Linked DNA regions of Lepisosteus oculatus. The protein of the gene in region 1 purifies or fractionates together with the protein of each later gene. This does not show direct contact. Links are inferred from orthologs where the notes say so. Each region holds a gene or a part of one and is shown in the gene's direction. Other genes may lie near its edges.

What was found.
Region 2: the proteins of znf346 (region 1) and krr1 purify together in Homo sapiens (affinity purification with mass spectrometry; 3 studies listed by BioGRID and IntAct, with this or other methods). This does not show direct contact. The link is inferred for Lepisosteus oculatus from reciprocal best matches to the Homo sapiens genes ZNF346 and KRR1.

The regions. Positions count from the first base shown.
Region 1 is NC_090706.1:39,912,450-39,923,352, reverse strand, and holds the start of znf346 (zinc finger protein 346), read left to right. Parts: upstream 1-6,910; 5' UTR 6,911-6,931; coding exon 6,932-6,989; intron 6,990-7,291; exon of another isoform or gene 7,292-7,376; intron 7,377-8,645; coding exon 8,646-8,749; intron 8,750-9,860; coding exon 9,861-9,956; intron 9,957-10,903. Other genes in the region: uimc1 (BRCA1-A complex subunit RAP80), read right to left, coding at 762-836, 1,531-1,655, 2,727-2,796, 3,766-3,876.
Region 2 is NC_090702.1:21,454,545-21,465,412, forward strand, and holds the start of krr1 (KRR1 small subunit processome component homolog), read left to right. Parts: upstream 1-6,613; 5' UTR 6,614-6,645; coding exon 6,646-6,721; intron 6,722-7,557; coding exon 7,558-7,733; intron 7,734-8,615; coding exon 8,616-8,750; intron 8,751-9,241; coding exon 9,242-9,367; intron 9,368-10,868. Other genes in the region: uncharacterized protein, read left to right, coding at 1-42, 696-953, 1,832-1,991, 2,123-2,252, 3,304-3,434. UniProt on the Homo sapiens protein: Part of the small subunit (SSU) processome, first precursor of the small eukaryotic ribosomal subunit.

The DNA.
Region 1 (10,903 bases):
GAATCACATACCCTGCATTCACAGATTGAACTAATTATTTACAGCCACACCATGCTATCTGACATGCCTCCATTGTTCAAGAGCAGGGTATTGAAAATCTGGTCTGTATCTGTGGAGGCTGCCCATTCTACATTTATGACTGCACGAACATATACAGACAACATCTATTTGCTATACTCCACATTGTTTAGGACTGCACTGGAATTTCTTACTCCCCTAAATGTTTACATTATGTCCACTTAGAAAGGAAATGTCCAAACAATGACACAACCCACAGTCAATGACAATATTACACTGCAGAAACCTGTACTGACCTTCTTGGACCACAGATCGGACCCTGTGCTCTCTATGAACGGGGAGTGGGACTGCAAGCTGCCCTGTCTCAATCTCTCGATGGTGCAAACCGGCGTCACTGGAAAGATCCCACCACTCCTGGCTCCCTCCCCTTCAGCCCTTTCCCAGACTGGGAGCACAAGCTTCCACCTCGGACACTGAAGTGACCTTTCGGGGACCGCAGGGCTCCAGGTCAAAGGAGGAGGAGGTCCAGAAGCTTGGCTAGGTGTTGGCATTACCGGGAAGCGTTGAGAGAAGATGACACACCCTGACTCCTGGCAACTATGCAACACATCTGGGCTCAGTTTCTTCAGGAGGAGGACAGGAGTTCGACCCAAAGTGCTCTTTCCCGAGCGGAACCCAGGATCTGACTGGCTCTCACTCCTGCGACAGGGCTCATGACGGGAGTTCTCTTTCCTTTTACTTACTGTTTTCTGGGCAGCAAACTCTTCTCGCTCTTCAAACGAGCTGGTCTGGTCGGGATCATCACATCTGCTGCTTTCCTGAAATACCAGAAACGTTAACTCATTAAAACATAAACAAATCGCAGACAGATTTATGTGCATCCTAATACTTTATTTGATTACACTGTTAGAAATTAGTGAAATAAACTGCGTCGCCAATGCCCTCAACTTTACAAAAAATCTAAACTCATGTTTAGAGGGAACATAAAGCACCTGTGAAAACAAAAGCACTACGTACTGTACATAATTTGCAACAGGCTGCTGGAAGTTTTAATTGAATCTACAGCTAAACAAAACTAGTGAATGAGAGTGGCACACGTGCTTGTGATAGTGTCAGGGTAGAGGTATACAGGATTAATAGATCAGACCCTGAATACAGCATAGTGTATTTCCCCTCTGTAGTCTGAAGACTACAATTCCCAGAAGGTGCTGGGGCTCAGAACAGAGTTTATGATTAGAAACACGTTACCTACTAGTAATTCTAGTCGTACTTAAAGGGAAGGGCTGCACTACGAGAGCGAGACTGCGAGAAGTCTTTGCATGAGTACAGACCTACGTATTGGACAAAACCCTCGAGAAAAGGACGTTTCTGTATGGAATTTCCCACCACCCCCCCACACACACACACACATCCAGCAGCATGAAGGAAATCCCTGAGCTTTGGCTTCTCCCCACGCGTCACACTTCCATTCAGCATGCACGGGACAGCTCTTAGAATAAACACATGAAGTACATGTAGACTCTCCACTATTGCCCTCCTCACGGCTTCGTCCTCCTCCTTGTCCCGCTGCTTGGTCCGCCTGGCTTCCTGTTCGCTCATTCGCATGGCCAGGCTCACCATTTCGTCTTCTGTCATCTCTGAAGAACAAGAGCATCTCCATGACTCAAGGGACAGGCCTGTCTCCCCGTTAGGTTGCTAAGCGGCCTAGTACAGGGTTTGGGTAGGAGGAGGGAGGGACAAAGTACGACTCTCAAGGTCATTTTCCATGTCCCACAGAAAGAAAGGCCCCCCTCGCTAACTTTCCTCTTTTGGTGGCACGACTAATTTTTATTGTTTAAAGTACACTGTACCTCCCCTTAGAAGGCAATTAACAATCATAATATCTTCACCGTTAAGAAGTCCGAAACTGTTAATTAATCATGGATATAGTATCGTATTTTCTACATTACTAACCATTACCGTGCCTTCTGTCACAAAAAAATATCATTGAGATGCCTTGTCCAGCAACTCTCCATGAGACACAGACAGGGAGAGAAGCTGGGGGTCAGAGCGCAGGGTCAGTCATTTATAAAGCGCCCCTGGAGCAGTTGGGGTTAAGGGCCTTGCTCAGGGGCCCAACGGAGTAGGATTCCTCTGCCGGCTGCGGGAAACAAACCTGCACAAATCTCAATTGTTAAGGCAACCTTTCAGAATGAAAACAATTAAACAGTTCAAATTAAGGTAAGTTATGGGTCCAACCTACAGGTTCAGGACTGAGAGCACCTGACCTAGACAAAATGACTAAACATCACCCAACACCTTCTGCACACAAGGGGGTCGTGCAGAAGCCTGTCATACGTACATGAAATGCACTGGAGCCCGTGGGGAAGAGCACTACTCCTGCTTTAGGAGGCACTTAATGTGACAGAATAATAATAATAACAATAATAACAACAACAACAACAACAACAACTATTTATAGAGCACATTTCATACAAATAGCAGATCAAAGTGCTTTACAAACCAAGCGTAAAAATAAAATCTTAAAAATAAGAGATATACTTTCAGTTGTAAAGGAAAACAGTAATACAGTAAAGCAACATTAATGTCAATTTATGCTTGAAAATTACATAAATAAAAATTAGGAAAGTCATAATAAAATAAGACCAATAAAAGATAAATAGAAAAGAAAGATAAATAGAAAGAACACTTAATAATTAAAAACCTACCTCGAGCCTGTCCGCTCTGCTGTCGTGCCTGCAGCCTGTCTTCCCTTGACAGGAGAACGTCATGCTGTTTCTGTAGGTAAGGACACAAAGGTGCAGCACATTTCATCACCAAAGCTGCTGTTTCAAACTACAAGAGATCACTGCATCGTAAACATACGAAAAGTGGCAAACGAAAGGAGGCCATCAGGTCCACTTGGCTTGTTCGATGTTTTAATCGATGACTGAATTTAAAATCTTTATCGGGCAATTTGTTGTACACCAGAATTTTGACCTCAACTAACCGACTGTTCCAGACACTCCTTGTATATAAAGGTGCATTTCCCATCCGCCGACCTGAATCAATTTTAGGACAGAGAAAAAGCTTCCAGTTGTGACACCACATTCTTATTTCACTTCCGATCCTGATATAGTCCTCTGCTTTTACTTATTTGAACTTCAGATACTTGATCCAAACCTCCTCTTAATCTCCTTTGCTCTAGAACAGGGGTGGTTAACTAAATTCCTGGAGGATGCAATGTCTTCTGCTTTATTCTTCTTCTCCATCAGAAGCTCACACCCCTGTTCTAGACTCAAGAGATCTACAGTAGTTCCTTTAACCTGTCCATATGTAACAGTCCCAGAAATCAGGATTGGTAAGGGCTGATCTTCTTTGGAACTTATCTAAGAGAAGAATGCACTTTTAGTGGCATGGGGCGGAAAACCCTATACAAGTCGAAAACAGAATGGGGTAAAAAACTAAATAAAGGCATGCAGAGCTCCTATGCGTTTCAGTTCCCGACAACACTTAAAAAATTGCGCCCAGAGCGGACAGCCGGAACTCAACCCGTAGACTCGCTCATCTCGCTCGATTCCTCAGTATCCTCGCCCGAACATGCGTGGGTATAGCCTAGTCACCTGGGTCTTTGGTATGCCCCTTTAGACTTTTTCCTCCCCCCAATAAGAAGGGCAATACTGAATAAAAAAAATAAACTGAAGACGTCTCAAAGCCGCGTCTGCTAGCTATGATGAAACACTTTGAAGGACAAGGACCAGCACAAACCTCGCTTTCTGCGTCAGACACAACAACAAACTCGCCATTGTTTTCAGCGAGATGTCTCTTCTTGGGCACTTGGTCCGCTTCCCTCGCACGAATTCGCCTTTTCTGCGGCATACCGTCAGCATACTACATACAACCCTGGCTTTTACAGTATGGAAACAATAGCCGAATAGGCTGGAATAACGATCTGTGCGGTTCCCACTGAGAGATGAAAACCTCAGTATGGCTGCTCAGCCTTGGTTGCTTGGCGCACTGGTGGGTGCCACTTATTAGTCAGCTCGCAAAATACGAATTATTGCAGTTGCACTGACAGCAGACCTCTTACTGTAAGACGACTCGCAAAGGTCGCCATATTTCCCTCGCTCACGTGATCTCCCAGCCGCAAAGAATGCTGGGTGCATTCTCGTTTGCAACTGTTCAGTAATGCAAACCAAGAGCAGGTGTTAATGTTTACGCTTAAGTAATTTTGGCATGCATAAATATCAACACATTGTATTGATTCACTCAACATATTGAATTAGTTGTTTTGGAGCTCGTTATTCCAGTCTGTAAAAACTCGCTGAAAATCTGAAAGCTATCAAAACAAAATTCAGAACATGATTTCTAAGAATGGTACTAAGCGCTCTCGTTTGCTTTTGTTGTATTTTAAGAAACATTTCTCCGGTTTATGAATACATTGACCGAATATTAACTTGTGATGTGAGGAAATCTAGAACACAACAATGTTTTATTGCTAATTTATTAATATTGAAATTTGGGAGAGTAATCTTATTTGCAATCACAAGGGATAAATCTCATATGTCTTGGGCTTTAAAGGATATGGCGTCTCCAACAAAGATAATCTTCGCCACGAATTACTCCATTTGATGGTTTGTCCATACAAAAGACATTCTTTTTGCTCTTTCGACTTTATTTTGAATACAGGAGTGAGACAGGATACACACTGGGCAAACACACAAACACTCTCAGCAGGGCCAGTTTTACAGAAGTCAGGTGTCCTACCGACTTTAACGGAAGAACTTGGTGGGACACAGACTGCACCACCAGACACGGGAGAGAACTGGGACACCGGGGGGGAGTCCACCATCGTCTTCCTCCCCTCCTACCCTAGAGTGGACTTGGGGAAAATAAGGAACAGCAGGGACAGAAGAGGTAGCTGAAACCTGTAACCCCTGAAAGGCTGCAGAGAGCTCTTCGCTGTGGTGCAGTGAGGCACACCGGGACATCGCTGCTAATCTGGGACACTGGGTTTTGGGTAACCGGCGTCCACGAGGGTTTGTGTGTTCTGTGAGGGTGTGTGGCCCTTGGGGATCCATTTATCATGTGTGTTCTTATGATCAGATAGAAGTTACCACTCTTGACTGTAGGTGTAAGCAGAATAAATACTACGATTATGTTTAAAACAAGTGTGTCTTTGAGCTGTGGGTGGAAACCACAAACAAACTCCATGCAGGTAGCAGTGTCTAAAAAAAATGCGGTTTGGGGAAGCAGCTCCTCATGAACTTTTACCGCAGCACAACAGAACGTGTCCTCACTAGGGGCATCACCGTGCAGTACGGCACTACTACCATGCGTGACAGAGACGCACTACAAAGGGTTGTGGCAACGGCCCAGAGGATTATAGGATGTGATGGGCCATCAATCGGTGAGATCCACACCGCCCGCTGTCGCTGTAAAGCCTGTCCGTCATACAGGATCCCAGCCATAAGCTGGTCTCCCCCCGCGGTACCGCACTGCAAAAGAACTGACCCTTAGACTCAAGAACAGCTTCAACCCTGCTGCAGCGAGCATCATGAACCGCTAACTGTGCATTGTCTCAGAGGATAGGGCACCCCTGCCCTCTGCACTCCTGTCTTGAACTACCATGTATTTGTGTTCACTACCGCCTATTTCTTGTTCTCTACTGTGTATTTATTGTGCTGGTCCGTTTGTTGACTGTACATACCATCACTGTTTGTTACGTACTGTCTACACTGTGTGGTGCTGTACTGTACCCGTCCCGAGAGATCAGTGTGAATAAGAATCCCACTGTTCATGTACATACAGTATGGCAATAAACTCCCCTGCTCTATTCACCCCAGGAATTGAACCCAGTGTCCCATCGCCGCAAACCAACAATACTAACCCCTGTGCCACACCCGAGCCACCGTTAACTATAAATAAAAACCCATACATGATTTCTTTAGAAAAGCACCAATTTAAAAGGAAACACATATTCGTTCATGTGAACGTTTCATAATTCAGTTTAATGCTACAGAAAAGAGTGGAACCAAAATGGGAAATATCAGGTGAGCCTGGCAGATATATTTTGCCCGCTTCATTTTGTGACCGCTGTGTTGTTACCCCCCCAAAAAAACCAAACTATCACGGCTGATATGAAAGACACCGTCTTCTGTAGGACACGGAAGTTTAATTGACATAAAACACGTAAGAATACTGGACAGGCTCACCTGAAGCAGCCTGGACTGGCCAGCTCGAAGGCGCTCAGTACGCCTGGCCAGTACTGGGAGGGGGGTCGCCGAGGAAGAACCAGGTCTGGGTTATAAGCTTTATCCCCCCGTCTGAGGGGGGCTCCTCGCCTCAGAGGTGTCATCCTTAGGACGGGGTGTTAAAATTAAGATCCCCAACTACGTCCTTCGGCTGAACTCATTTCTCATTCCTCCACCACACCATACCAGGCGGGGCTGACTTCAGTAAGGGCTGGAACTGGGTTCCCCCCTTTCTAGAAAGAGTTCTAGGATCTTTTGGGATTAAAAGTACTATGTAAATGGAAGGCATTTTACCCGGGTGCAGTTAACCTGAAGAAAACCAAGCATGTTTATCGGGATGTTTTGTTCAGAATAGTGCACTACACCGGTTTTCTCGTCTTTATTAATTCTTTCATACTTCTTTTCTTAAGAGGAGCTCAAAAAAGTCCCTCGACAATGTATGTAATGATGGATAAGTTTATTACTGTTTGCAAGAGGTCAAAACGCAGTACAGAAGTCAGAACGCACTGGGGGGGGTGAGTTCCGTGCGATTCAAAATATCAAGACGTTATTTGAACAGACCTGTTACACTTAAGGGGATATAAAGAGTCCCCCCCCCACATTTAAACCGGTAGCACACAGCGCCCCCCACCGACCGGAGAGCAGAGACCTCAGGCTGCAGCTCGGCGGCTCTGGGAAACATGGCGGACGGAGAGCGGAACGGGGATTTACCCGCTGTGCCGTCGGGGCTGGAGGAGGGTAAGCGCCTTCACCCGAGGACCCGGAGTCGAGCGGAGTGTCGCAGATATCGGGGGGACTTGTGCGAAGCTGGTTTCCCCTCTAGAGGCGGAGGAGTCGGACACAAGCGGGGAGCTCAGCGGCTGACTGCCTTGGAAATAAGTGCTCCGAGATGGAAGCTGTAAAAAATAAATAAATGCATCATTCGAGGTCGAGGAAGCGAGGCAGAAAACAGTTAATGCTGTCCGCGGAGAGGGTATATAAAGTGTGCACGGAAATTCCCGATCAAATGCCTTCTGCTACCTCCGCAGTCTCGGCGAGATGTTTTACGTTACTGTCAACATGGAAACCGAGCTGCGGGTCTTCACTCTTAAAATGCCTCAGTGGACGCCAATAACATCGCTCCCGGTGAATGAAAACTTTTTTTCGGAGTAAATGCCCTTCCGCCTAGATACTATATGCTCAGCCAGGGCCATTCCGGGAAGCTGCTACGCTCTCCAGAACCCTGTTTTTATCCAGACAGGTTTATAGGTCACCTTCTTAACAAAGGTTGGCTGCACCTCTGTGTTATTAGCGTATTAACTCTAATAAAGGATGAAGGATGAAGAAAGAGATCTTAGATTTGGGTCCCAGATCAATGTCTAAAGTACTCCATTTAACTAATCACCCACTTAACTGATCACAATGAAATCATATCCTTTCTTCACATTTCGGGGTGACCTACATTGGGGATGTCCTGGTCTGTGGCTTGAGACCCCCTGTTCTAGAGATCTAATTAAATATTTCCCATGTTGCAAAAAGGAGGTTTGTGTCATTCCGAAGGTCAAGAGTAGAAATCGTTTTGCTAGATGGGGGTGTTCAGTCTTTGTGACCAAAGTCCTTCCTCTGGCTAATTCTTAATTCATTAATTGACCTTCAGCATCTGGACTAATTAAGCAGTTAAGGGTCCTTTCAGTGCTGCACCTACTGGAAGTTCAAAAGTGCTGTAATGACCTGGAATCAGGGGTCAAGGCTGAGATCCCTGTGCTAGCGACAGATTTTCACTCCTAAATACACCTGAATCTTGCAGCTGTTTGTTGGCAGAAAAAGTCACTCTGCATTAGTTCAGTCCAGTTTTGTTCAGTTCAGTTTATTTGTCATATGCACAAGTGCAATGAAATGCTTATTTGCACCTGTTCTCCAATACAAAGACATTAAAGGAATCGCCAAAAACATAAACACAGAACAGCAGCAGCAGCAACAAGTTAAATAACATACAGCTTAAAAAAAAAAGATGGACAAGCAAGTTTGAGGAAAAAAAACATCAGTGTGCTGATTACTGAGCTCTGCCTAACTCTCGGTAGATAGTCCAGCTACAGTACATTCTAATGTCAGAAATATCAAGTATTGGCACTGCCTGAACTGTGCCTGGATTAATGACATTGCAGAGATTTCTGCATTTGGGATCCAGCTGCTTGTAAGTGCTTTCAGTGGTTTTTTTCTGCTTTATCATGTAATCGACATATTGTGTTGATTTTATTGAACCGTACATCACCCGGGATAAGAGCACCTGCTAGGAAGATAATGTGTGTTGACGGGAATGTATAGTTTCCAGTGTACATTGGATAAAGCTAACTTTTGCTTCAGTGCATGCCCCAGAACTAGTGTTAATAGTGCCCCGTTTGTGTTCTTCAACAGTGAACAAGATGATCAGCGAACACAGTCACCTCTTCTCTGACACGCAGTGCAAAGTGTGCAGCGCCCTTCTCATCTCCGAATCACAAAAGCTTGCCCATTACCAGGTGGGTAGATTACTTGGCTGTTGTTTTCTGTGTTGTGTCTCTGCGCTGCACACTTTGTCCGGACGGCCCCCTCTGGCATGTGGGAGAGCGCAGCCTTGAGACAGACTTAATGCAATACCAGTGTATTTGTGTAGATTGCCATCACATCCTAGCATGCTACATAAACAACACGTAAGCAGGCGGTAAGCTGTACTGTACAAAACACTAACCACGAAGTGGAGCAACTACGGCTGCTGAGGAGGGCAGCTGGTATTTATATGAAGGATATGGATATCTCAACATTTGCAAGGGTTCAGTGTAGAGAACCATTGCAAAGAGCCAAGCCCACCTCTGAACGTTCGCATATTTAAGTCAATTACCATAATGAACAGAAACAACAGTCCAAATTTCAAACGTACAGTAATTAGCTAAAATAAATAACCTGAATCCCTCCTCTGCGTCTGGCCTGCAAATGATCTCTGCCTTCCCAGTTCCATGATTAGCACATCGCACTGTAATGAAAAGGGCAGTAAAACTGTCAGTGGGCCTGTAAAGTCGTCTCCAGACGGTCGTTCCACACACTGCTGACACAGAACCAGGAGCGTTCATTACAGTTTAAAAACCAGGCCACCCTGAGATGTGGATGCTGGATAGGGGGTACTTGGGCAGGGGGCAGAGAGAAGATGGAAAAAAATTGCACAAGTGGATTAAGAAGACTGGTGCAGAAATTTAGATGTCGATCTGGATCTGATGGCAGTTGCAGCACTATATATTATATTATCCCTCTCCTCTTGCAGTCATGCGCTTATTGACAAGTGTTACAGTGCTCTCTCTGATAAAAGGGTGTTCAATACAAAATGTGAGGCAGCACTGTGCTTATTAAATACTCCCGCTGAGCAATGCAGTACATGGTCTAGTATATGGATCATCTCTGCCTCTTTGGTTCTGTAGACCATCTGTGTGGCATTATCAACCGCTCTGTGCATAGCCTTCATCCAGGGACTGGACCAGTGTAAAGGTTCCCAGCTCTGGGAGACATTCAGATCAGGAATTCAGTGCTGTTTTATTCTTCATTCTGGATTGCTGCTGATGTTTAATAGTTAAATGTTGTTGTTTTTTTTCACTTTTACAGAGTAAAAAACATGCAAATAAAGTACGCCGATACATGAGTATCCACCAGGATGAGGAACCATCGTTGAAAAGGTTCAAAGGCCACTCATCTGACAACGTAAGCATGAAGCAGTGTTTCTTTGAAGAGCAGGATAACAACAATAAGTTCATGAGCCCTGATCAGGGGAGCAGGCAGGGGTGGTTTAAAATGGCACATTAAAGTCAAGCTGAATAGTAAGCACCAAAACAGTGGTTCAATCTTAAGCAAATTTTAACCTCACTGAAATAAAATAGTGTCATTGGGGTTTACTTATTTTTGTTGGCCTCCGGTGTTGGAGTACCTCCTGTTTGTGTAATGTGGTGAGTCTCTTGTCCTTGCTGCCATTGTAAATCAGTTAGTTATATGAGTAATTCTGTTACATAACGGATAGCAAGTGAGTTTCTGAATGTTTTTGTTCCAAATGAGTACTCAGATGAACTTTCTTTTTTGCTTCGGAGAGAACGTGAGTGTTTAATCTGTTCCCCATTTCATAACAAGACTGCTCATTTGGCAATACAAGAAGAAATTGTGAGAAGTCTCCTTGCACTAGAGCTGGGAACGCACTGCAGTCATGTGTTTTGCAAGTAAAAATGTTTTCTATGAACAAATTAATCCCCTGGTCCATCCCCTGCACATTTCTACTCAAGGCACCCAGAAATGAAGTAAACGACTACAGTGGAGCCCCCACGAAACAGGGCCGTGGCCGTGTTAGTAGCAGCAGTGCCAGACTCCTCTGTCCCCTGTTGGCAGCGTGGAGCACGGCGAGTCCAGGCTGAGGATCCAGGGACAGCAGGAGAGGCGCCCAATGAAGCGTCAACATTAAAGAAGCAGCCAGGCCAGCTGGCCAGATCGTTTCTACAACCTGGGCTTTCAGCGGGTGGGAGTCATCAACCAACAGGAGCATGAGCGATCTTCCCTGTTCAAGTTAAGGAACGGGGAAGAGACTTTTCCTCAGACAGGCTGCTTTCATCCCATCTTCTCACAGGCTGGGACTTAGGTCAGGGGAGGCTCCTTCGCTCCATTCA
Region 2 (10,868 bases), on another chromosome or scaffold:
ATACCTTCGTCACACACACATGGGAGAGGATCTCTTGGACTGGTGAGGAAAAGGCAGTACTTTTGACAATCGTTTGTCTTGACTCTAAGATACAGCAGTGCGTTTTTAGTTACTCTGCAGTCAAGGGGCTCGGGTTCAGTTAAATTATGGCTTATGGCTTGTGTAAAGCCATAAAAAGTCATTCTTAAGTTGTCCGGCTTTTATGTGGAGTGTGGGAAGGATTTTTGGTAGGATAGGACTTTATTTGCTAATGGAATTCTTGCTCCTTTCTTTTCTGGGAAAATCAAGTCTGTAGCTTTTCACTGTGAGTACATTTCTATTCATTTTTCTGTTCCTTTTAAAATTTATCAGGTTAACTTCAAGCAGTTGCATTTCACTTCAAATGTACGCACATGCCCACTGCAACTCCACACTTTACTGTAAATGTAATACTTTTGAAGCTTTTTTTAACTTACATTAAGATCTAATGTTTTTAATTTAGCAATTGTAAGATTAATACTTCTACACAGTTATAAATTTAAAATGCTGTATGCAGTAAACTTGTTTATTGGTTCTGATTTTCCTGCTAAAAAAGTCTAACCTTATAGACGGGTTAGCACAGTTTAATACCTTTTCCCAACATTTGAGATGATCAGTTTTTATAAATGCATATTTTCATATACCACATCAAGCCCAAATGTTTCTTTCCTTTCAAGGCATCAGTCCTTGATCCTAATCCAGTACAACACCAGCCGGATTTTGGAACTCCGTATGACTCTACACGACAATGATTCTTTTAAGTCCAACAACTCGATCCCGATGGAATTCAGTTCGGACACTCACCTCTTTTTTGAGGTGACCCTTCATTCACAGGACACCTTTGCCTTTGACTTTGTTTTGGAGGTGGTCTCCTGTTGGGTAACGGAGACATCCAACCCAAAGGGAACACCGAAGGTATTCTTCTTGAATGAAAGGTGAGCACATACAGTACAGTCCTGCTGTAGAGTGATGTGCCTGATACCACACATGATTCATTGAAGTACTCATTGTTGCATGAGCTAGTGCAAATTTAATAATTTGATATAGGTCTTTGTTTTTAAAACATGTTTTTCCATCGCTGACCTAGGATGTACACTAAATTGAGCTGTGAACATTGTATTTACTGTATGTCAGTCATTTGTACGGCACTGGTTGATTATTGAAACAACTGCCAGACCACGAAATTATTAGTGCCAGTTTTGTGTGCTTTTTAGTTGCTGACCTGTTGCATGTCTGATCTGTTATTCGTATAATAGATAAAGGATCATCGATGGCTAATATTTCCTAGATTTAATTTGGAAGTAGAGGGTTTTTGACAAATGCAACAGCATGTACAGTAGCATTATGGATAACTACAGCTCAGCTTAGGTATTGTCCAGTTTTTTCTAATTGTCCCCATTTAATGTTTTCAAACCTATACATTTAATCTACTGTACTTGGTTTCAAGGCCTCTTATAAACCTGTATTCTGTAAAAGTTTGCCCTTGAGGCTTATTTAGAAATGGCTTCTCTCACCTACATGAAATGCCTCTGTAATTGTAGGACTCTGACAATGGGAGCAATGGTCATGTGGGGTTTCTAGAGTTTTTTCACTTGCGAGATGAGAGTTGACTTCAACCTTCATAAATAAGCTCTTTCACTGGTCTCGAAAATGTTGCGGTGCACCTTAAATGTAAAAGTTTTTTTTAAAAAAACTTGAAAAAATACAGGAACATTGTGTAATACATAGAGGATCTGTAATGTCATATCTATGAGGAATTCCCATTTTTGCACTTTAAGGCCATATATTGTAAATTATATTTTTTTTTCCCCAGTTGTCCTGTTGACGAGACCTTTCGGTGGTATACAGCTAATGGATTACAACAGAAGAGCCGGTTTTCAGTACAGATGTTTACTGTCACTCCAAAGAAACCCATCTATGTGCACTGCTTAACAAAAATATGCACCCAGCAGGAAAAGGAAAACTGCTCAATGGTATTTTTTTTCTTTCCAATAGCACTAAATTACAATAAGTTTTCTTTTTACACCACTGCAGCTTGTGTATAAGTTACCAGAAAATATTAAGAGTATGCCCCCTCCATTTCATTCTTAAAAATCTTTGACAGGTCTGTCCTGCAAGGAGAACAGACAAAAGAAGAAGAGAACTTAAAAACAGATTGCTAACGGCAGTTCTGTCAGCTGGGCCCATCATTGTCGGGGATCATGCCACGATGTCTGAGGCAAAACGATCAGATTGTAAGTAACTGAACCAAAAGAACTTCACATTGCTCGCTTTAGTAATTTTTTTTTTTTTTACCAGTATGGTATTGAAATCTCCAGCACACAGGACCCTCACAAAAAAAAAATTAAAGAATCTAATCTCTCTGTGGCTACTGTAGGTGCAGCTTCTGCTCCAAAAGTTAAATCGACCACTGTTACAGAGAGAATCTTAATTCTTAATTCACCATGGGGCAGTGCAGTGTCTCTGTGGCTATGGATCTGCGCCTGTCGCTGGAAGGTAGCCAGTTCGTATTCCATGGCCGGCAGAGGAATCCTACTCCGTTGGGCCCCTGAGCAAGAGCCTTAACCCCAACTGCTCCAGGGACGCCGTATAAATAGCTGATCTCAGGCTTCTCTCCCTGTCTGTGTCTCATGGAGAGTAAGTTTGGGTAGGCAAAAAGACAAATCCCTAATACAAGAAATTGTTTATGGCCAATAAAGTGATCTCCTAATGTGGTGCTCAACTTGGTTGGTCTGTGCCTGGTTTCTGTTCGTGTGTTCTCAATCAGATTACTAATAGATACTGCCGTCTTTGTGACTAGTGAGAAAACCATTGAAAAATGTAGTCCATTAGATTCACTGATGGGCATCATGGGGTCTGCAGTGTTAAGTACTGAATGTATGTATTCTGGAGGTGCTTGGCAGTCTGAGAAATCTGGAAATATCTAAAAGATGTAATGGGTACCAGTTTTATTTGTAACCACTAGATGTCAATGTTGGTTCATTTGGCATAAGATATTAATAGCGTCAAACCATTCTTTTTTGAGTGCTCAAGCCATAAATTTACTTTGAAATCATTTACACATTTTTATAGCTGATGTTTTTTATATCTGCAATTTAAACTATGCTTCCTGAAGAATGCCTGGAAATTTAGTTTGATGTACTTTAATGTAGGAGATTAAAGGAGGATAAATTCTTTCTTTCTTCAGTGAAACATTTGCTGTTCTCTCCTATCATACTGAAGTCTCTCAAGTGTTCATGGCATTCTGTCATGTTCTTTAACCTGAACCTTCATGTTTTCTCACAGGGCATCAGCTTCTAAATGTGATGACAATCATTGGTGGAACAACAGGCTTCCTGTTTTTGACCTTGCTGGGCATGAATGCAATAAAGTGCATCTTAAAATGCAGTGAAAAACATCAAGAAAGGATTCAATGATAATACTCCTTTCCTTCCTCTTAGTTCTTATAGAACTTTTATAAAATTTGTTTCTGTTCTGAAAAACAAATCCAAAAGTACCTAATGGACTAATTTTGAAGTATAGTGTGGTGCTGGATGTACCTAGTAGAGCTGGTGTGGAATCTGCCAACACTGGAAGACAACTTGTGACTTGTCTTCAGTGTCCAGGATTTGTACTTGTTTTTCCAGGTGTTATACATCTAAAATTGTTACTAATAAACCTACTGAATTCTTGATTATTGCAGATTGGTGTATTTAATTAAAACAGATTTTGACATGTACAAAATATAACATTTTTACACCAGATATTTTTTATACTGCACATTAAACGAGAACAATGCAATTGTCTTTAAACACAATTTCAATGGGCTGACATGCTGTTAGTGTAAACTTCTGTAAACCGTGACGTTCTTGTAAAAGGAAAGCACACCAAAGTCTGGAGAGATTTCCACAAGGAGCCAATGCAAGGAAGCTACAACATGAGCCAATTTATACTGTACATTTTACTCATCCTCAAATCGGGCTGCTTGAGTTTAATATACTGCGACCGATTTAAGACAGCCTTACCAAAGAAAGCAATGGCATTAAGCTTGTAGAAAAGCAGCTCCTCTGTATCAGACTAAAGATTTAACCTTATGATTTACATTTAGTTTTTCGTTCAATTAAAAGTTTGAGTAATTTTAATAATCCTTAGTGATCAATATTTTCAAGTTCAAGTTTGTCATTCCAGCCATATACTGTACAAGTATACAGAGGAGTGAGAACGTTCTCCAGGTCTATGGTACGAATACAGACGAGACAATGCTGACGTAGACATTTTCTGACAGGTTGCATAAAGTGCAATGTGGATAGTGCAATTCACTTTACAGGATTGTGCAAAGAACACATCAGACAGTATGCCTGACATTAGGCAAAAAATAACAAAGTTTCCAGATCTGGAGTAAGTGCAGTAGGTACCAGGGTGTTGAGGAGCCCGACAGCCTGTGGGGAAAAAAGCGGTTGCGGAGTCTGGTGGAGCTGGCCCCTATACTGCGGTGCCTTTTACCAGATGGTAGGAGGGCAAAGAGGTTGCAGGAGGGGTAGGAGGATCATCCACAATACTGGAAGTTTTGTCCTGAATGGACGGAAGGGAGGCTCCAATGATGTTTCCTGCTGTATTGACAGTTCGTTGCAAGGACTTGCGGTCTGTGACCTTACAATTCCCAAACAATGATGGTTTGTCAAGATGCTCTCGATAGTACCTCTATAGAATGTGGATAGTATCATGGAGGGGAAGTTTGCCCTTCTCAGTCGCGGCAGGAAGTGGAGACGTTGTGCTTTTTTGTTGTCATCTGTGATATGCACACCAAGAAACTTAGTACTTCCAGCTGTCTCCACAAGGGAGCCGTTGATGTGTAGTGGGGAGGGATCAGTGCGGGCCCTCCTGAAGTCAGTTATCATCTCTTTTGTCTTATCTACAGTCAGAGACAGATTGTTGTTGAAGCACCAGGCCGCTAGTTGCTCCACCTCCTCTCTTTATGGTGCCTCATCGTTGTTACTAATGAGGCCCACCACTGTCATGTCATCAGCAAACTTGATGATGTAATTTGCATTGTGCTTAGCAGTGCAGTCATGAGTCATCAGTGTGAACAGGAGCAGGCCAAGTACACAGCCCTGGGGGATTATGGTGTTCAGTATGGTGGTACTAGACATGTTGATTCCTATCTGGACTATCTGAGGTCTCTTGGTCAGAAAGTCCAGAATTTAGTTGCAGAGGGAGGTGTTGAGATTCAGCAAGCTCAGTTTTTCTATCAGTTTCTGGGGAATGATTGTGTTGAATGCTGAACTGAAGTCAATGAACAGCATTCTTACATAAGTGTCCCTCTTATCAGGGCAAGGTGAAGGGCAAGGGATACGGTATCAGCGGTAGACCGGTTGGGACGATCTGCAAACTGGAGGGGGTCCAGAGAGGTGGGCAGTCTGGACTTAATGTGGCCCATGACTAGCCTTTTGAAGCACTTCATGATAATTGGTGTGAGTGCCATGGGGCGATAGTCATTGAGATACGACACATTAGTCTTCTTCTGGGCTGGTATAATTATGGTGGTCTTGAACCATACAGGGATGACTGCCTGGCACAGGGAGATACAGTATTAAAAACGTCTGTAAAAACATCAGCTAACTTTTGCTAGTGTCTTCCTCCCATCAACTGCGAACATGCATTAATAGACAAACTATTTCAAGTTAGTATTAAGATTAGTGATTTGTATTTTTTAACTTCACTGGTTAAGGTGTTAATGATCCAAGTCTTAAGGGTGATGGTTGTAGTGTGAATGAAGTACAATATTTTAATTTGTATCATGAGGTCTATAGTTATATGGCAAGGTTTAGAGTAGTTTGTGTAATGTTGTTAGGATCAGAATTGGGCTACAGTCATTTATGAAGGCCCTATATTAGAGCAGAAAAATGCAAACGAAAATCGTGTAAATTGTGATGTTCATTAAATGCAGAATAATGATAAATTTATGTACCTGTTTGGGTGTTGAGTATGTAGATAGAACACCCTAGGAGTGGTTGTGAACCAGTGCTTTTGGAGTCCTGGTTCCCGCAGTCTGACAAGGGCATCTGCAGTAACCATTTGTAGTTTTGTATAAAACGAATATTCCTACTCGTATATTTTCTAAAAACAAATGTTTCGTTTGAGTAATTGTTGTTATTTAGGTTATGAATTTAAATTTTGATTTTATAACAGAAGAAGGTGACCAACTTGATCAGGAGTCTGCAGTCTACAAAAGCTAAGACCTTTATCGACGAGGCAAACATAAACTAAATTTATTTTTCTATGTCTCTTGAGTGAATTCCACCCAAAGCAAAACCCCTCTTTTTGAAGTGCCAAGCATCATTGTCGTTTTAGTCAATTTAGATGTTTGTGATTTGTACGGAAAATGATATAAAGCGTTTATATCCTGAATGTTTCAAATACACCTACAGTGAGTACTTCATTTTATTTGACTTTCTATTATTCCTAAAAACAATATTTCTAATTTCTACAGTTAAAGTGGTTTAAGAGGGATACTTCTATTCAAAAATGTAATTTTAATTTGCTCGGTAAGAAAGTTACAAATGTGTTGCTCCTCACGGATTGTTTACGCAGATGCACAGTTTTTTTTCTGTCTGCCACGTGATTCAGCGGTGAAAGGTTAGTGCAGTCATGGCGTCTTCCACAGAAGGAGCAAGCGTGAGTGAAACGCCGAGCAAGAAGAAATACAAAAACAAACAAAATGAAGGTAATAAACCATAAATTCAGTATAAAACCGGTCATAACTTTAGGAAGCTATACATTTGCAACGTTCCAGTTTGATTGGCAATGCTATTAGTTATCTTAGGACAGTATTGGATATCTGAGAATTCTGTTGTAAATGCTAACTTTCCCATCTGTTTTGAAGTATTTTTTAAAAGTATCTACCAATAATATTGTAGTAACAGTGGTTCATATCGTTGTAGATACGTGGTGTAGAACTAGTACATACAAATCTTTTTTGATGAAACCATTTCTTGATGAAAACGCACCTATACAAAAATAGAAATCAAGATATAACTTCTGTGAAAGTTTGCACTGTATTTAAGAACTAGGTATTCGCTGTACTTATCCATCGTACGCAGCTTAAGACATTGAGAAACATCACAGGTAGGCTTTCAAGGATTTTCGAAAAAACCTGAAGATATACAGTATGTAGACGGAATACGAAAGTCTCTGGAACAGAGGTAAACGTGGAATGTTATTTGGGACATCTGGAACAACATTCAGAATCAGGCAAAAAAAAGTAAACAAGCAGCGTTAAGGGAGGATTGCTAGCTGTTAGAAATAATACAGATGATTTAACTTTAAAAAACAGAGCATTTCTAGTTTTTGTTTCCAGTTTTCAATAGTTGAGTAGCTTCTGAAATTCATAGGGCCTGTTTGTTGTGTTAAAATTGTATCAGCTTAGTAGTAATGTTGCTGTTGTTACTGCAGGTTTTAGTATCTGAATAGTAAATGTCCAGAAGCTTAAGTGTCTTGTTTGTCAACTTCTTGAATTTATGATTTATTTGTTGTTGTTTTTTTGGGGTCTTGAATGAGCAGTTGATGAGTCTGAGCTTCTGACAGTTCCTGAGGGATGGAAGGACATCCCATTTACCAGAGAGGACAATCCGAAGGGTTTGTTGGAGGAAAGCAGTTTTGCCACTCTGTTCCCCAAATATAGAGAAGCTTACTTAAAGGAGTGTTGGCCTCTTGTGCAGAAAGCACTAAACGACTCTGTAAGTTAATTTAAAAAACAATATATTTTAGAATATATCCAGTGCCTATGTTGGCTTAAGGTGCAGTGTCCAACAGATTTTTTAAAAAAATACTAGATGCCTTTCATATTGATCACTGTAACATGACGTGTTTGTTGGAAAGGAGAATATTAGCTTCAGTTCTTAAAAGAGAAATACAGAAATGTTGGTTATGGAGGTAATGACTGCGTAGATGATGGGTCATTATAACATTAAATTAATACAATTTTAATCATTAACATTGGGAACTGAAAATGAAGATCTAAAAATAAATAATAAATAATGCTATTTATTTTTTTCTTCAACACTTTTTTCACCTTTGTTTCCTGCTGTGAAGTCAGTTCCTGGTGTTTGTACCAATGTATGAAGTAATGAAGCTTTTATGTGCTACTGTGCAATATGTACTATAATAAAATAGGTACCATTTGAATTACAGTTTGCAAAAATATGGAACATTTTTATTTGATGACCTTGTGCTGTTTTTATATTTTAATTTTATAGCTGAGTTAAAAATGCTTAATACTGTAGTGTACTTGTATTCTAGAATTGTAGCTGCATCTTTTTTTCTTGTTTTATCATGGGAATTTAAGTGGTACCAGGCACCAGTTACATGTTGTTTTTCCATTTCTGTTTGTGAAAACATGGAATCCAACAGTCTAAATAATTTTATTTGGTGGTAGTACTGTATGTGCATGTAAAAGTTTTTTACTTTGCATATTTTACTTTTATGAGCTACCAAAAAGTATTGGAAAAGATAATGATGATTGTGTGTATTTTAAAGTTCTACAATTGCCTCAGAAAATATCCTTTGCTTTAATGGTACTTTGTTTCTCATGTGTTTTATATTTCTTTTCCTTTCTTCAGTACATCAAAGCAACCCTAGACTTGATTGAGGGTAGTGTGACAGTCAGCACCACAAAAAAGACATTTGATCCATACGCCATTATAAGGGCTAGAGATCTGATAAAACTGCTTGCAAGAAGCGTTCCATTTGATCAGGTATGTATTGTGGTACATTTACGGTATACCACCAATAAACACAAGTATCTATTCTAGAATTACTTTGATATTTTGTAGCCCAAAAGTTAAAGTTTGGGATCTGTCTGAAAAATATTTTCATTCTAGGACTAAAGTGTGAGTTTTGTCTTTAGTCCTAAACATTTCATATACGATAGGTTCACTTGTGGATGAGTGAAAAATATCATAGGTAATGCTAGGTAACTGCTGAAATAGACGTTAAATATGTCTAAGCCCATGTAGGTTCAAGTCTGCCATTTTTCCAAGAGTTGACTGTAAATAGAATGTAGGTTAGATCAAAACTGCGTCCCTTGTAAATGGGGGTATTTGAAAGTACTGTATAAAACCATCTTGAGTCTAATTAATTTGATTTTACTAGTGGTTAAATGATGGGTAAGCCACTAAATTTCAAATTCCACATTTAATTGACAGCTGTTTTCCTGATCTGTCCACCTAATGATTGTTTGCTATAGGCTGTGCGAATTCTTCAGGATGATGTGGCCTGCGACATCATCAAAATTGGGACTTTAGTCAGAAACAGAGAAATATATGTGAAGAGGAGAGAGAGACTGATAGGACCAAAAGGATCAACTCTTAAGGTAAGCATCACAAGGTGTCATAAAGAATCCATGCGTTGTGGTTTTAGCTACATTTTTGTATTTCACTCGCTGGCACTGTTATTAAATAAACAGTCCTGTAAAGCCCAGTACTCAGGCCACTGTTTCCCTCGTTGTTCTTTGATGCCTTATTTTAGTTGGAGAAAAGTATGACTTTTACTTTTTTTTAAAAGACCAAGAATTAAACATCAAAGGCCAGTGATGTATTTTTGGAGAGCTTATCTAGATTGTCCCTGTGTGCTTGTGTGGGTGTGCACTGCAGGGTTCTGGTCTCCCATCCAGGATGCCCTGCCTTGTGTCCTATGCTCCCATGATAGGCTGATAAGTTTTCATTTTGTTTCTGTAAAAACTTAACTCTTTATAATTTTCTTCTTCCTTTCTGTAATATCAGACATTGTGTAGTTTTGATGACAGCATTTCAGAAGTTGGTGCTTGAATTACCTTCATCAGCATATATTAAATCATTCTGCATGTTTTTAATTACAGTTTGTTTGTAACATCATAAAATGGAATATAGTGTGGTCTTATGCTGTTTTTGTGTACATCACAAAACTTTTATCTCAAACAGGATGAAGCTGGTCCCTGTTGCCTATTTCAGTTCTAAACTGCCCAAAAGCTATAAAATTTAATATGGGGAGAGTCTTTAGTTTTTCTGTGATTTAAGTGTGTTAGACTTTCCAGTGGTAAATTTCAAGTTTCCTTTATTTTTCATGACAGCATATTGTATGTATTGTCTGACTGTAGGTTTTGGAAGCATCTTATAGATTGTTTTGTGGTTATTTTTAATTTTGTTCTCTTGTCTTGGAGAGATCCATAGCATCACAAGAGATTTTAAATATATTTAAAATGTATACAGTCCAATAAAGTTTGCCAGCATTGGACTGTAATATAAATAAAAATATAAGGAATTTGTGGGCAAGACAACTGTTCACCCTAAAACAATCTCAACATAGAGTACACCTATTAGTATTGAAACTCAGCAGGACATAGCAGTTGTATCTTGTACCTCTGTTAGTGCACATGGTCTATTGCACTGCACATCTTTGTAGCCCACAGGTTCCGGTCTTAGTGTGTCAATGCAGTGACCAGTCCAAGAAGGTGTTCGGTCTTGTTGTCACACATGAAGAAATGATTGCATATTTAGATGATTGCATATGAGAAGCTGAGTGACCAGGGAGCTGATTTGTATTTGCATTTATTCCCAGATGAGTCCACTGCTACCTACTTGTCTTTTTCTGGGGTTTTGTTCTCAGTATATCTCTCACCACTGCCTCTCTACCCATGTTAAGGCATCTTGCTTTGTTGAGCTGAGCTAGTACCATTTGTTGTTGACTCAAACAAATGTGGTTGTGTGTCCATGTCTCTGTTCTGTGCGATCAGACTAAAATTGTGTAGATGTTTGTTTTAACTATGGAGAAATTAGATACCTATGGCTTCCACCATGCAATGTGGAGACTTGTAGAAATTACTTCATCATATTGCA